Linked DNA regions of Macaca fascicularis. The protein of the gene in region 1 purifies or fractionates together with the protein of each later gene. This does not show direct contact. Links are inferred from orthologs where the notes say so. Each region holds a gene or a part of one and is shown on either strand. Other genes may lie near its edges. The genes, in order: BNIP1 and NBAS.

Region 1 (4,287 bases):
AGACAGCACATATACCACAGTTGAATTCAGGCATATTGAATGTGTACATGATGTGACTGGTGACTACTGAAATAAGGAAGATGCTGAGCAAAGTAACAGCATTTAAAAAAAAAAAAAAAAAAAAACCCAGGAGTGTGATGGATTGAGGTAGTGAACAAATGAATAGGGTAGAAAGAAGGTAGAGAAGAGAAAGTATTTGAAGTGGCCTCAGGGTTTCAAAAATTCCAAGGATAATGGTGTTCCTGCCATCCACTTGTTGACACAGCTGGCAGTGTTCTGCACGCAAAAGTTTCTCGTTTTTACCTGGACAGCAGGTTAGTACAGAGTCACCCTCACTGTCTTAAGTGTTTACTGCTCCCATCAGCTGGTGTTTGAAGAACCCAGACGGCTCTCAAGCAGAGGATACACCCAGGACTGAGCCCCCTTCATTGATAGATACTCAGCATCTCAGTTCTGAGAATACCCACCTGTATTCTGTGACGCAACTGTTGAAATTTCTCTTTTACTTTAGTGTTCAGTTCAGTAAGAGCACTTAAGGGTCCTGAACAATCACGGATATCCTAGGAGACATTGAACAGATGAAAGGCCTTTCTTAAGGCAATGAAATGAAATGACACCATCCATACAGTGAGAGAGTTGGTTTAGACCAACTAATATTAATGTACTGATACTGACTATAATTCATCCTGATCTTTGCTGTTTACCTCTGCAACACAAGCAAAAACATTATCATTGGCATTTTTCTCATTCCTCTTTAGATTAATGTTGAATTAATATAAAAGCCTAGAAAGAAACACAACTGCTTTGACCTAATTTTTAGTGCCTAAATTTTAACAAAACATTACCTGGCCAGTATGAAAAAGCTTAAAACAGCTTATATGCCCAACAAGAATGGACATGCGAAAGTTATACTATAACTTTAGAACCTTAGATCCTTTCAACTTGTAAGATGAGGATGTTTAAAGATCTGGCCTCATATGATGAGATTAACTTTTTCAGTGTGATTTTACAAACCGTCAGTGATAAGTTAGAGTGTTTATATAAACATGTTTAAGGGCAGATTTAGAATCTGTTGCTGGACATTCAGAATTACTGGTGCCAGTTTTCAGAGCAGGCTCTGGAGACAGACCATGTGGATTCGAATCCTGGCTGTGGCAACTTATTAGCTGTGTAAAGTTACCTGGAAAGTTATTTAAATTATCTGTGTCTCAGTTTCCTCATCACAACCCTACTTACCTCAGAGAACATCATAGATTATGTGTGTATGTAAAGCACTTAGCAGAGCTGCTGGAACACAGTAAGGGTGCACTACATCCAGCTATAATCAATCTTTCTCATCAGCAATCACAAGAACCCAAATGTTAGAAAGAGTACAGAAGGGTGCCTAAGCAATTTAGATTATGTGAAAATGTGATTTCATTTGTATGAAACCTAAGTTTATTTTTCTATAACTGGCCCAGAAGTTTTGTAATGTATACATCAGAGAAGTGAAGTTCGAGAAGTTTTAAATATCTGCATCAAATTTCACTTTTTCTCTGGTTATTAATTTAATCACACTTCTTTGCACCATATTTGTTTATTCTGCATCTAATTTGGTTTATTCTGCATCTGGTTTATCTGGGGAGCCCTACTTTCCTGCACTTTTTGCCACCCCTCGTTACAAACTCTGAGTCTACATCTAATGTTTAGTGACTTTGTTGAAAATGATTTGCTTTAAAAACCAAGGTTTAGGCCGGGCGCAGTGGTTCACACCTGTAATCCCAGCACTTTGGGAGGCCGAGGCGGGCAAATCACGAAGTCAGGAGATCAAGACCATCCTGGCTAACACGGCGAAACCCCGTCTCTACTAAACAAAATACAAAAATGAGCTGGGCGTGGTGGCGGGCCCCTGTAGTCCCAGCTACTCGGGAGGCTGAGGCAGGAGAATGCCATGAAGCCGGGAGGCAGAGCTTGCAGTGAGTAGATCGCGCCACTGCGCTCCAGCCTGAGCGACAGAGCGAGACTCCGTCTCAAAAACAAACAAAAACAAAAAACAAAACAAAACAAAACAAAAAAACAAGGTTTAAAACTCTTGGTTTCTTTTTGCTAAACTCATGGAACCGTGTCTACATTCCTAATTCTTGTCTACGTCAACTCGTTTATTTTACCTCTACCCTTAAATGGCTTAAGGCGAAAACACCTCATTTCCTCTCTGTTCAAACGGGGTAACACTCTAAGGTGTTATTCCTAGGTTGACTTTCCCAGTCCAGGTCCCAGTTTTGCCATTGACCCAGGCCTGCCTTCTAACCTAGGCCTTGGCGCCGTACTCGATTTCCTCAAGCATAAAATCACAACTACGGTCCAGGTTACATTCGTTTCACCTGGTGCCTCCCGAGCCAGGTGCCCTTGGATGCCAGGGGAGCTGGCCAGCAGGGAGCGGGGCTAGCTGCCTACCGGGCGCTACCAGAGAATGGGGAAGCAGCGTCAGAGGGCGGGGCCAAGCAGGGTGGCAGGTAGGTTGTGAGGAGGTCAGGGGCGGGGCGACGACCAGGACTGCAAGTGGAAGTGGCAAAGCCGAGCCTCGAAGCAGTAGCTGGGTCAGGGGCGGAGAACAGTTGGGTGCTCTGGAGATGGGCGATCCGGCGGCACCCGGAAAAAGGATCAAGGCCAGCAGTCACGGGGATACAACCAAATGGGGACCAGGGCGGGTAGCCGGTCATGGGGCGGAGCCGGTGGCCTGGGAAACCAAGTGGGGAAAGTTCGGGAGTGACACTACCGAGCTCACAGACCAGCAGAGCTTGGGTTAGGGCTGCTGGAGCCTGGCAGGGGTCCCGGGATCAGTACCTGAATAAGCGCCTTCACCTCCAGGTCAAATTTGACAATCTCTTGGTTACAGATCCGGACGTGGACATCTTGGGGAGCCGCCATGTTGGGGACGCCGGTTACGGGCGGCGGCAGGGCCCAAGTTCAAACGCGTTTTCGCACCGCCTTCTCGCCCTCCCCGCCCAGTCTCGGGGCAGCGCCCCCTAGAGACCGGCGAAAATGGCAAGCTTGGGTCCCTGCCGCAGAGTTGGGACTTTCCCTGACACGTGTAGGGAAATCAGCCTCTCCTCTTGGTATGGCCTTAATACCATGGAGAGGAAGAGAAGAGGGAATATCAATAATGCTTCACAGTGGTCTCTTTCCATCTTCCTTCTGTCAGGCATTCTAATAACTATATATTTTTTGCATAGAAAAAAAGACTGGAAGAAAAGTATCAATTGAGATGTCTCTGGAAAGTACAAGTGACACTTTTTTGTTTCTTCAAACTTTCTTATATTTTTAATATTTTCTACAGTGAGTATAAATTGTGGAGTAAAAGAGAAAATGATAAATGTTATGTATTTTTTAAAGTATGGAGTTCAGTAGAGTCAGTAGAGTACTTCCTATCACTCCAACACATGATCTGAGGGATCTTTGTAAAACACGAAATTGATCAAGTCGCCTCCCTGTATGCAGCCCTTCTATGGCTTCTGGTGGTTCCCTTTTGTATACAACTGGATTTATTAAATCTACCTTGCTGGGGTAGTTTTGATGGATTTACGTAGTTTTGATGGATTTACGTAGTTTTGATGGAAATGTCAGAGGAAACCCTCAACAAATGGTGGCTCTTTTATTTTTGTTAGTAAATAATCCAAGTTTCTTAGCTGGTCCTCAAGGTCATCAGCCACCCCACCCTGCACCCTTCCTGGATTGCTCAAGCTCTTTCTGGATGTGTAGCCTTAGAATGTGGTGTTCCCTCTCCCTGGAAAGCTTTTCCCCGACTCGACCCCACTCCATCTGCTTTTGTTCAGGTCACTTCAGCAAGAATAGATTGTGAGGACCTAAATGCTTAGGACCTGAATGTTCATCTCTCTTAATCCTCACAACCACCCTTGAAATTGCACTACACTAGTATCACACTTCAGGAGATGAGCTGAAAGTAGATTAAAATAACCACCAATCAACCCTGTCGCAAGATTACCTATCTTGAAAGTGGCACAGCCTCTACTGAAAGCCATCTTTTCCCCAAAAAATCAATATGGCTCCCACCTGTTGTAAGCAGGGCTCTGTGCTTGTCTGTGTTCCTACAGGCCTCTACACACCCTCTCGTAAGGTATTCATCACCCCACTGCACCTAATAGAGAGGCAGTGTATCCCAGGCTTGGCATCTGCCTGGGCTCAAATCCTGTCCACAGCACTGCATGCCTGTGCTTCAGTCTCCTCAGAGGCTAACTGGTGATAATCAATAGCACCTACTTCACAGATTGGATAATTAAATGAGATAAT
Region 2 (4,286 bases), on another chromosome or scaffold:
AATGCATCTTGATGGATATTATGAAATATAATTATCTCAAGGGATATTCAATATTTGTTTCTTTTGATGTAAAACAGTGTAATACTTTGTACAGTATATATTCATTAATGTTACAATAGGCTCTGCTTATAACTGTCCACAAAGAGGTATTTGTGGAATGAATGAATGAATGAACAAATGGGGTTGACCTTTTCGCTCCCTCCATGCAGGTTCTCAACCTATTATTTAAACTTTATTGCCCCTACACCCTTTCTCAACTTGGGTTCTATTCACCTGTCTTGTTGAGTACTAATTAGGAAAAGAAAAAAAAAAAAAAAAAAAAAAAAAGGCAGGCTAGTGGGAGCAGGAAAAAACAAAGAGATAAGGCAAGTAAGCATAAGCTATACATCTGCCTTTCTTCATGGTCCAAAACATATAAACAAAAGGAAGAAACAAATAAGCCATAGGTCTACTTTTCTTTATGGCCCAAGACATATGGCTCTTCTAACCAGATAACGTACTTAACTCACAAACTTCCTGCTTACCTTCAAACGCCTCTATTTATCAAACACTTCGGTTGACAAAAAAAAAAAAAAAAAAGGAAAAAAAAGCAAGTTAACTCCCTGCTAACTTGGTGTTATCAATCACTCCAAGTTCCAGTCTATAAAATTCTCAACAAGCCTTTGTTTCCTAGCAATGAGCTCCTCCTCTGCTGATTCTGCGCGCTGTTCCCTGGCAACGATCTTTCATACTTTCTTTAATCTGTCTTTTTTTATCTACTACTGTCTTGGTAAATTCTTTTACTCCCACACCCAGAAAGTCGTCGCTCACTCGCGACACGTTGAAAGAGTTCTTTCAACTCTGTACTTTTGCCTCTGTCTCTGCTCATCCCATTTCCCCCTACTTGAAATGCTTCTCCAGTGGATTAACATTCTGCCAGTTGTTAAAGACCTAGGGACAAGCTCCACGTCCTCCAGGAAATCCCTGCAGACTCTGGCCTTCGTTGCCTTTTCTGAGCGCCCGTAGCATGCTTCCTCTGTTACCTTTCATTGGCTTGATCCCCTGCATTGGATAACTTTGGTGGCTTATTTTAAAACCACTGTTTGAACTCTCTCTACGTGCTAGGCAAAGAATACACAAATGAACATTAGCATTTCAGTGGGGTACCTTTACCGTTTCTGTTTTATAGAAACTGACTTGATAAGACAGGCTCAGTGACTTGGCTGATGTCACGTAGATTAATTAACAAGGAACGCACCAGGACCGGGACACAAGTCGTTCCCAAGACAAGCAATAGTCCTTGTCCTTCCTACTCATAAAAGGGTTAACCTAGCATTTCCTTGCCGCGGTCAGGGTCAGTTCACTCCACTCCCTTCCCCGTGAATCAAAAGCGGCCGCGGCTAGGGAAGCTTGTCCTGTGAGGGATTCCGTAGAGGCGCTCCTCCACTGCTTGAGTCCCGGGCGAACATGGCGGCCTCCGAGTCAGGGCCGGCTTTGAGTCCAAGCGCTGCAGAGGGTGAGGAGGAGACGATTCTCTATGACTTGTTGGTCAACACCGAGTGGCCACCGGAGACTGAAGTACAGGTGAACCAGGCCCGTCTACAGCAGCAGCCAACTTGACGCGGGCGCTTCGTGGGCAGAGCCACGTAGCAGGAGCCACGTAGGGGAGTGAAGCCGGGTGGGCGGGGGGCCTGATGGCTTGTGTGGTCGCCCTGGCAACGGCACCTTGGGCTACCGGGGGTCTGGGGCTCCTAAGGCGGGGTGGGGTCGTGGTCCCTGAGATTCCTCCTGGGCTCAGAATTCGGTTTTTGGGGGCTGGAACTTCGTGTTCTGCGGAGCGTAGGATCCCACTCTGGTTGTTAGTTTCTCTCTGTTTTCGGAGGGGTGCAGATTGTTAGTTTCACTCTCTGTATTCGGAGGGGAAGGCACAGCGCTGGACTAAAGGGTCCTTTCTCCTACCTGGACTCTCGGTGGTCCCTTCTCGCAGTCTGGCTAGGGCTAGTACGGGCGGACGCTTAACGGTGTGAGAATTTTCCAGGACCTTACAGTCTTCAGCATCTGGCAGGCTGCTGCAGAGTGCGGAATCTGAGCCTTTACAGCTACCTGGGGCTGGATCGCGCCAGTTCTTGTGTGTAACAATAAAAGAGCATTTAATAAGGGTGTGCGTGTCCGTTCGTCCGTCTCGGTGTCCCAGATGCTGTGCTAGGTGCTGAGGATACAGAGATAAATATGCTTTCGTGGAGCTTCTCCTCTAGAGGGGAGGCAATCCTGTAAACGTTATTCATAATCTCGCGTTTTATGCGCTATAGTTAGCGATGTGAGCAAAATGCCACGGAAGTGAAGGGTAAAGAACTGCTGACTGGGATTGGGATCTCCGCTAGAGAAGGATTATAGAGGTTGATAATTTATAGACTGGATCTTGGGATTATCAGTTATTTGGTAGTGAGGGCCTCCCGGGTCTGTGGTGAAGAGTAGGAACCACGGATCCATGTTTATTTAATAGATATTTATTGAGTGCTTAACAAATGCCAGTTACTGTTTTGGACCCAGAGGAAGCAGCCAGATCGAAAAGAACCTTTATTAAAGATTATGTAGTCCAGCCCATATGAGTTATCTTACATTTTTTTATGAGTGTTTCTTTGCTGGAGAAACGACTCATTTTTCAGCCTAAAGTTTGTATTTTTTTCCCCTATAGCCTCCTTCCCACTGCAGTTTGTGCTTATTTTGAATAATGTATTTTGTAGAACGGGTAGAGATCTGCATGTTTTGCCGTTTAATTTCAAGTGCTTAATTTGTCTTAATGTGAATATTTTTTGGGTTATGCAGCTAGGAAGCTGTTGCTGCGGCAGCTGGTTAGATAAGTTTCCACTCCTTAACACTCATTGGTTAATTGCAGTAATGTTTCAGAATGCTTAGCATAAATTGATTCCAAAAAAGTAACCACAGAATTAACTTACTTTGAAACCCTTAGCACTTTGTTTTGTGTTTATGTGTTGGGGGTGGGGGAATTCTATTGATTTCTGCATTCTATCGATTTCTGCATTCTATTGATTTCAGCTGTTGAACTATAAGCTCTCGGAGGGCAGCTACATCTGATTCATCTTTATATCTCTCCCCAGGGCCAAATTGTGCCTTGCATGAATCCCACCATCAATTCTTGTTTGTTGAGTGAAATAACTTTTCTGTTTTTTAAAAAATCTGTCTACACTTACTGTGTGTCCATTGTGCTTTTCTTGACAGCACTGTAGTGCACCTTATGCAGTGCCTAGTGTCATGAACCTACCCACAGTGTGTTCAGTCTATACTTATGGAATGGAATTATTTAATATAGCAATTACATATCGCTGTATGTTTTGTTAGTAGCATTGTCTGGATGGATATACAACAGATAGTCAATGAATTTGCCTTGGAGATATGACCACTTTTCCTGTGAGCAAAACTTACAGCTTCAATAGAGTGTGCTGAATTGGCAACCAGTGTGGTCTTTGGCCTTGACTTCTCTTGTCTTTGGATTGGTATTTGATTTGGAAACAGTTTCTAGCTTCAATCTTTGTTCTTACCTGCAAGGTTAGTCCTGACATGTGCCTGTAGCTCTGCTATGCTCCCTTTACTCCTATTGTCCCCCATCCTGAGTCTACCTTTTTCTTTTTTTTTGAGACAGGGTCTCACTCTGTCACCCAGGCTGGAGTGCAGTGGCATGATCAGGGCTCACTGTAGCTTCAACCTCCCAGGTCACCTCAGCTTCCCAAGTAGCTGGGACTATAGGCACGCACCGTCTTGCCTGGCTAATTTTTGTATTTTTTGTAGAGACGAGGTTTTGCCATGTTGCTCAAGCTGGTCTGGAGTTCCTGGGCTCAAGCAGTTGGCCCACTTTGGCGTCCCAAAGTGCTGGGATTACAAGCGTGAGCCACTGCACCTGCACATTCAGTCTTTAAGTAGTTTTAAGACACTGCTTCCCTGTGCCCAAAACTCTGGATATTAGTAAATAAAAATAAGTTTACATTGTATAAGCAATACTAGTCTAATACTAGAGGATTCAAATGTAAGGGCTTTGTTTTAAATTCCAGCCTAGAGGCAACCGAAAGCATGGTGCATCCTTTATCATCACGAAAGCAATTCGAGGTAAATATAGCTTATTTCTCTACAGTAATGATATGGTTAACAGTTAAAATGTGTTCTTTAGACTTCTGGTGTGGAGACTAATAAAAGTGACGTGTTATCTGAGTTTAATTATATATATATATAGACACATGTATGTATATGTATACATTTGTATATTTACACATGCACATTTTTAATGCAGTTTA

Evidence for each region.
Region 2: the proteins of BNIP1 (region 1) and NBAS purify together in Homo sapiens (co-immunoprecipitation; 3 studies listed by BioGRID and IntAct, with this or other methods). This does not show direct contact. The link is inferred for Macaca fascicularis from reciprocal best matches to the Homo sapiens genes BNIP1 and NBAS.

What each region holds. Positions count from the first base shown.
Region 1 is NC_088380.1:179,966,525-179,970,811, reverse strand, and holds the start of BNIP1 (vesicle transport protein SEC20), read right to left. Parts: upstream 2,920-4,287; 5' UTR 2,908-2,919; coding exon 2,824-2,907; intron 561-2,823; coding exon 468-560; intron 1-467. UniProt on the Homo sapiens protein: As part of a SNARE complex may be involved in endoplasmic reticulum membranes fusion and be required for the maintenance of endoplasmic reticulum organization. Also plays a role in apoptosis.
Region 2 is NC_088387.1:106,648,100-106,652,385, forward strand, and holds the start of NBAS (NBAS subunit of NRZ tethering complex), read left to right. Parts: upstream 1-1,424; 5' UTR 1,425-1,446; coding exon 1,447-1,563; intron 1,564-4,046; coding exon 4,047-4,101; intron 4,102-4,286. UniProt on the Homo sapiens protein: Involved in Golgi-to-endoplasmic reticulum (ER) retrograde transport; the function is proposed to depend on its association in the NRZ complex which is believed to play a role in SNARE assembly at the ER. Required for normal embryonic development.